2 linked regions of the Notamacropus eugenii genome follow. The protein of the gene in region 1 purifies or fractionates together with the protein of each later gene. This does not show direct contact. Links are inferred from orthologs where the notes say so. Each region holds a gene or a part of one and is shown on either strand. Other genes may lie near its edges.

The links.
Region 2: the proteins of STX5 (region 1) and SEC22B purify together in Homo sapiens (co-immunoprecipitation; 4 studies listed by BioGRID and IntAct, counting the BioPlex papers as one, with this or other methods). This does not show direct contact. The link is inferred for Notamacropus eugenii from reciprocal best matches to the Homo sapiens genes STX5 and SEC22B.

The regions. Positions count from the first base shown.
Region 1 is NC_092873.1:15,894,471-15,898,215, forward strand, and holds the start of STX5 (syntaxin-5), read right to left. Parts: upstream 2,559-3,745; 5' UTR 2,368-2,558; exon of another isoform or gene 2,240-2,367; intron 79-2,239; exon of another isoform or gene 1-78. Other genes in the region: TEX54 (testis-expressed protein 54), read right to left, coding at 2,924-3,162, 3,265-3,328. UniProt on the Homo sapiens protein: Mediates endoplasmic reticulum to Golgi transport.
Region 2 is NC_092873.1:300,262,016-300,265,760, reverse strand, and holds the start of SEC22B (vesicle-trafficking protein SEC22b), read left to right. Parts: upstream 1-985; 5' UTR 986-1,278; coding exon 1,279-1,353; intron 1,354-3,745. UniProt on the Homo sapiens protein: SNARE involved in targeting and fusion of ER-derived transport vesicles with the Golgi complex as well as Golgi-derived retrograde transport vesicles with the ER.

The DNA.
Region 1 (3,745 bases):
CCTCTGAACACAGGGGCTCTCACTCCAAGTTCAAGGCGTCTGTGCTGTACATGCCAAAGGGAGAATGGGAGGAGAAATCTGAGGAAAGAAGAGATAAAGATAAGGAAGTGAACACAGAAATAAGAAAGCAAAAGCAAAGGAAGAAATGCAGAGGGGAGAGAGGAGTGCTGGGGGTAAGAATCAAAGAGAGAACAACAGAGAAAAGGAAGGAAGGAAAAGGAAGAGAAAAGTAAATGGGGAGAAGGGAAAGAAGGAGGAAGGAGAGGATGGGGAGGGGGAGAAGGGAAAGGAAGGAGGAAGGAGAGGATGGGGAGGGGGAGAAGGGAAAGGAAGGAGGAAGGAGAGGATGGGGAGGGGGAGAAGGGAAAGGAAGGAGGAAGGAGAGGATGGGGAGGGGGAGAAGGGAAAGGATGGAGGAAGGAGAGAATGGGGAGGGGGAGAAGGGAAAGGAAGGAGGGAGAGAATGGGGAGGGGGAGAAGGGAAAGGAAGGAGGAGGGAGAGAATGGGGAGGGGGAGAAAGGAAATGAGCATTTATTACATGCCAATTATGTGGCTGACACTGCTAAAAGCTCTTCTGAGATGTCTCATTTGAGAGGGAACCAGGGCTCCTATTATCTTTATTTTACAGAGGAGGAAACTGAAGTCACTGGGCCAGAGTCACCCAGTTAAGGAGTGTCTAAAATCACATTTTAACTGCAAGTTCCCTTCCACCTCCAGGTCCAGTTCCTATATACTTGTCACCTTGGAGGGCAAAAGGGGAAGAAGGGAAAGACAAGGGAGAAGGAATGGGGGGCTCCAGAGAGAAAAGTAAAAAGGGGGAAAGAAGGGAGGACAAAAAGGAACTGAGAGGAAAAGAGAATGGAACGAGGGGGAGAGAAGTAAGAGAGGGAATGGGGGAGGGGTTAGGAGAGAAGAGCAAGAAGGAAGAAATGAGAAAAGGGATGAAGCGAGGTGGGAAAGGAAGGGGGAGAGAAAAGAGAAAGAATGAGGGAGGGCTGAAGGAGAAAAGGAGGGGGAAAGCGATGGGGAGAATGGGGGAGGAGGGGAGAGCGGTGGGGGGAATGGGGGAGGAGGGGAGAGCGATGGGGGGGAATGGGGGAGGAGGGGAGAGCGATGGGGGGGAATGGGGGAGGAGGGGAGAGCGATGGGGGGGAATGGGGGAGGAGGGGAGAGCGATGGGGGGGAATGGGGGAGGAGGGGAGAGCGGTGGGGGGGAATGGGGGAGGAGGGGAGAGCGATGGGGGGGAATGGGGGAGGAGGGGAGAGCGATGGGGGGGAATGGGGGAGGAGGGGGAGAGCGATGGGGGGAATGGGGGAGGAGGGGAGAGCGATGGGGGGGAATGGGGGAGGAGGGGAGAGCGGTGGGGGGGAATGGGGGAGGAGGGGAGAGCGGTGGGGGGGAATGGGGGAGGAGGGGAGAGCGGTGGGGGGGAATGGGGGAGGAGGGGAGAGCGATGGGGGGGAATGGGGGAGGAGGGGAGAGCGGTGGGGGGAATGGGGGAGGAGGGGAGAGCGGTGGGGGGAATGGGGGAGGAGGGGAGAGCGGTGGGGGGAATGGGGGAGGAGGGGAGAGCGGTGGGGGGAATGGGGGAGGAGGGGAGAGCGGTGGGGGGGAATGGGGGAGGAGGGGAGAGCGATGGGGGGGAATGGGGGAGGAGGGGAGAGCGGTGGGGGGGAATGGGGGAGGAGGGGAGAGCGATGGGGGGAATGGGGGAGGAGGGGAGAGCGATGGGGGGGAATGGGGGAGGAGGGGAGAGCGGTGGGGGGGAATGGGGGAGGAGGGGAGAGCGGTGGGGGGGAATGGGGGAGGAGGGGAGAGCGGTGGGGGGAATGGGGGAGGAGGGGAGAGCGGTGGGGGGAATGGGGGAGGAGGGGGAGGGGCAGAGATTAAGGAAAATGGGGAGGAGTAAGGGAGGGGGAGAGATGGGGGCAATGAAGGAAGAGGGCGAAGAGACCAGAGGGGCAGGAGGAGAAAGGGGGCGGGAGGAAGGATGGGGGAAGGGCTGAAAGAGAGCCGGAGGAAGGCTCAGGGGGTGGAGAGGGAAGAGGGGTCTCCGTTCTGGGGCTCCCAGGAGACAGGATGCTGGTCAGGGGTACCCTCCAAAATGTTTATCTGACATCGGAAGTCCCGCCCCAGACTAAACCCCGCCCCCTCCGCGGCTTTGGGCAACGATTGGCTGCTGCCGCTATCCTTCACGGAAGGCGGCGCTCTGATTGGGTAGGGGAGGCATCGCTCACCAGCGGCTGGACCGGCAGAAGTCCCCGGTCTCCCCGGTCGGTCGTCGTCCCCCCCATCCCCGCCCCACCGAGAGCCGGCCGCCCTCGGCCCCAGCGTCTTCCCCAGGCTCGTCCGGGTCGTCTCCTACCTCCGCGTCGCTGCCTGCTGCCGCCACCTCCGCCACCCGGGCCGGTACTGTTTCTTCCCCGGGGACGAGCCAGAGAAACGGGACCAGAGACCAGAGGTTGACACGTCACCTAGGCGTGGCCCCGCCCCAAAATGACGGCAGCGCGCCGACACGCCCCCCTCCGGCGGCGGAGGCCACGCCCCCGCATCAACAGTGACGGTCACGCCCACTCGCCCGGGAGACTCCTTGGCGACGCCCCTCCCCCGACAGCGACCCAGGCTCCCAGCATGCCACGCCCACCAGCCGGCTTAATCCCCTCCCCCAAGTCCCGCCTCCTCCCTCCTCCATGGAAACCTACGGCGCCACGCCCCTTGGGTTACGCCACAGCCTCCCGAAGAACCTTAAAGGGCTCGCCGCGCAGATTCGCGGCTCCTCCCCTTTCAGCTTAGGGGAAACTGAGGCCCCGCGCCCTCTCCCCCAGGCAGACCCGAGGCAGGCTCCACCTCCCGACTCCAGGTCACTACTTTTATTCTCTTCTCCGGGGGGCGGGGCGGGGCGGGGCGGGGCTCCGCCGGCGTCATCGGGGCTCCGGGTCTCGGCCCAGATCGGGCGACGTGAGCTCCTCGAACTGCTGCGGCTCGGGGGCCTCCGGGGTCCGCCCGGCGGAGCCCGACTTCGCTCCGGACGCGGTCCTCACCGCGGGCTGCTGCTGGCGCGTGGAGCCCCGCCGGCTGAACATGGACAGCCTCCGCCAGAGCACCGTGATGATCAGGCTGTCGTTGGACTTGTGGGACCCCTCGTAGCGGCTGGCCGGTCCTGCGGGGCGGGGAGGGAGCCGCGCTGCCCGTCTGCACCTCGGGGCGTTCCGGGCCTCGGCCAGCCCCCCCAGCCCGGGGCAGCCGCCCCCCCACGCCCTACCTTCCATTTCTTCCCCGGGGCACACGTCATCGTGACTCCTGCTCTTGGACCTGGCACAGCCCATGTCCCCTCCGCCGACCTGGAGGCCGGGCAGCCATCGCTCTGGCCGGAGGCCCGAGCTTTTGTGACATCAGAGCCCTCCCCACCCCCGCCCCCCAAGCGGGCTGCCGCCGCAGGGTCCCGGGCCGGGCTCTCGCAAGGAGGAGGCAGGGTCACAGAAGGGGGTGACTTCTTTATTTACAAAGGGGGGGCAGAGGTGGGGGGCCCCCCAACGCCGGTTGCTGCTTCTTCCCCACAGGCTGCCGTTTCCTCTTGGCCCCTGCGGTCACGGGCTCCAACGAATCCCACAACTCATCAGTCTCGGTTTCTTCGGAGGGGACTGGGACAGGATCTCTGGGCTCATCCTGGTGAGCGAAAGGGAAGGTCTATGGGGAGACTGCCCAGAAGCACTGAGATCCAGGGCAGGCCTTTCCAATTTCCC
Region 2 (3,745 bases), about 280 Mb from region 1:
CTCTGATTTCTATTTGCTATTGACAAGGATAAATAGTCTTATGTCTTATTTTCCATGGGTGGTCTTTGTATAATTTGCATTAGGTGGGGAAGGGAATCAAGATTAAGATATATAGCTTGGGACACTTCTATCTCAATAATATTGATCAGGAGTTCAACTTGAGCCTAAAGGTTATTTCCACCAGACTAACAGTATGTAAGGTGTTAAACTGATATAATCTGAAGAGAAGGGAGTGGCCAGCCTCAAAACTCTAATCTCCTGTCCTCGCCTTGGCAGAAATCAAAATGTTCCTGGGAGAAAGGTGAGAGGAAGAGACTAGAGATTTATGTCTACCTTCAAATTACAGCTAGACTGACTCATGTGGACATATATAACCTATATCACACTCACAGAGACATACACATGCATCAAACTGGAGCAAGAGGGTGACTTAAGAGAATAAGGATGTGTCAAAAGAACCAGGGATGTTTATTTTGGAAATAAGAAGATAGGATAACTGCTTTGAAATAAGAAAGAGAGATAAATTACCATGGTTCTATGAAGAGTAAAAGTAGAACCAGGCTGAGAAAGTTGCAAGGATACAGTTCAAAATAAGGAAGAACTTTCTAACAACTTGAGTTGTCAAAAAAGTCAATGGCAGGGTTTTCTTGTATGGTCATGCAGGAACTCCCCCTCAAAAGCCAAGGGAAGGGCTTTCTTGCATGGTGATGAGTGGGCTCCTCGTCACTAGAGCTGTTCAGGGATCTGTCAGGGTCACTGCATTGGAGGCTGGACAAGATGATGATCCCCAAGGTCCCTTCCAGGTCAGAGAGTCTATGATTCTTGTCATTCCAGGTCCTTCATTGATCTCATTCAAACAAAGAAACCTGGTTCTAAACCTTCTCTTTCTCTTTCCCCTCTCCCCTCTCCTTCTCTCCTCCCCCCTCTTAGGGGGCGGGGCGAGTGAATGCACTCTTAGGCTCTAGCCCCTCCCACAAGGCCAGCAGGCGGGGCGAGGGGGAGGTGGGCGGGGCCCGTCAGGCTCAGCTAAAGCGGGAAGCAGAGCAGGGTAGGAACGTGCGCGCCGGAACTGGTTGTTTCTGACCGGACCAGGGTGGGGAGGGACCGGAGGTAGGCGAACCTCACGCGCTTCTGTTTCCGGCCACCTCAGCTCGGGGAAGAGGAGACGCAGACAGAGCCAAGTCCTGAGCGGACCGGTCGCCAGGAGGAGAACGAAGGGAGACTACGGCGACTGCTGTTGTCAGGGGGGCGGTGTGGGCGCCCTTTTAAGCCGAAAAAATGGTGTTGCTGACGATGATCGCCCGGGTGGCGGATGGGCTGCCGCTGGCAGCTTCCATGCAAGAGGATGAGCAGGTGAGGGGGGAGGTGCGACCCGCCCCCTGTTCCTCCAGAGGACCCCCAGCCTTGGTTCCCGGCTCCGCCCGAGGTGGTAGGGCTGGAGACGGGGGATGCATCCGTGGTAGCACTAGCGGGGGGTGGCAGGGACTAGCTCCTCGGGGCACATGTTGCAATGGAATAAGTTCCACCCCCGGGAGCCCGGATCCTCTGGGGTAGGGGCGTGGCCATGCCCACCATCGCCCCGTCTGGACTTAGCCAACTGGATTGGGAGCCACAGCTTTGCCCTGGCTAAAGACACTGGGCAGGAAAGAGCCCTGACACGCTGTCTGACCCCTGGACCAGTTACATTTCCCCTCTGCCTCCCTTATCTAGAAAGGAGGGCCGGCTGCTAATCTTTGACCCGGCTCGTTACGTGGTTGACGAGGATATGTGTCGGAATTATTTTAAAGATCTTGCGTGGAAGGTGTTTATAGGTGGACTAAAGTTAGAGGTTACTAAAGCAGGATGAGAAGATCTAAATTCTCGTCTGACTTGTTTAAACCTTTACTTGAAAAAAAAATCCCCAAAATATGAAAGAAGGAACCTTTTTCTTACGGCTTCAACCGAGTTCAGCAGATACCCTGTATAATAAGTGCCTGCCATGGTCAAGGATTCTTTTCTAAGCCCCATTTCAGGGACCTTACTTTGGTGAGAGAGGTGACCCCGATTTTCTCAAATTTGTGCCAGCCAAAGCCCTGGTGGGTTTTATCAGCCATTAAAGATTGGAATATCAAGAGTTAGGTGTGGTGTCGGAGCTCATTGAATACAACTTTTAGCCAAATCTCAGAGAAGGTCATCTAACCTCTCCTTGAAAACCAATGAGAGAAAAACCCTTATTTCCCAAGATGAGTCTTGGATACCCCTAACTGTTAGGATTTTTTTTCTCATATTGAGTATAAATCTACTTTTTTTTTTCTATTTTCCTCCTGTTGTTGTTAAAGTTCAGCCCTCCAGAGCCTCTTCCACAGGAGAGCTCTTCGAATACTGGAAGATAACTCTCATGGCCCCTTTTGACCTTCCGTTTGCGGAGGTAACCACAGTTCTGGCAAGTAGTCGTCATATGTCATTGGCCTCCCTGAATGTTTGTCATTCTTCCTCTTAAAATGTGGTGCCTGGAACTGACCACAGTATAGTGGATGGAGTCTGACCAGGACAGACCCAACAAAACTATCACTTCTTTTATCCTGGACACTAGTACTTCTCACTTGGGCAGCCCAAGATCACACTGCTTTCTTTGGCTGCCATGTTGTCATATTGTTGACCCCTTGAAATCACAGTCCAATAAACTCTTGACTCTCTTTCATGAACAGTAAAGCTCTTCATATCAAGTGACAGCATCTAAGGCCCAGCCTAGGTAAGTTCAGAGAGATTCATTATCCTACATTTGGTTAGCACAGGATGAAATCTTCTGACTCTAGCAGCCCATGAAGACCTAAGGGAAGGTTTGTGGTTGGAATGGTGGAAGGGGTATCCATGAGATACTGTTCAAGGCCTGTGCACAGGTGAAATCTGGAGAGAGCTCATGTCAAATACCTATGTTGTTGTTATTTGATCCTTTTTCAGTCAAGCCCTGTTCTTTGTGATGCCATTTGGGGGTTTTCTTGGCAGAGATACTGGATTACTATACCCTTCTCCAGCTCATTTGACAGATAAGGAAACTGAGGCAAACAAGGTTAAGTGACTTGCCCAAGGTCACACAGCTAGTAAGTGTCTGAAGCCACTTTTCATCTTGGGAAGATGTCTTCAGGCCTGACACTCTGTCCACGAACCACCTTGCTGCCCTATGCAAGTACCTGTTATGCTTAGGGATATACAAAAGACAAGGGGCAGTGGATAGAACACCAGTGCAGTAGTCAGAAGGACCTGAGTTAAAATCTCACCTCAGACACTTGACACTCACTAGCTGTATGACCTTGGGCAAGTCACTTAACCCCAGTTGCCTCATCCTGGCTCATCTCCAGTCATCCTGATGAATATCTGGTCACTGGATTCAGATGGCTCTGGAGGAGAAGTGAGGCTGGTGACCTGCACAGCCCTCCCTCACTCAAAACAAAGCCAAGTGCAAGTCATATCATTATTTCTCTGATGGCATGGTCTTCTTTGGCAATGAAGGACGAACACACACACACACAAAAGACAGCATGTTATAGTGAAGGAACATCAGAGTGAAGAGCCTGGAGATTTGAGTTTTAATATGACTCATCCTGATTAGTTGTTTGATATTGGACAAATCACTTTTTTGAAATTATAAAATATGAATGACGCTTCTTACTACATGCACTACATGATTGTTAGAAAGAGTTTTGCAAAACTTAAAATGCAATGTAAATGTGAGTTATAATATTAATTGATATAATTACATTAATTA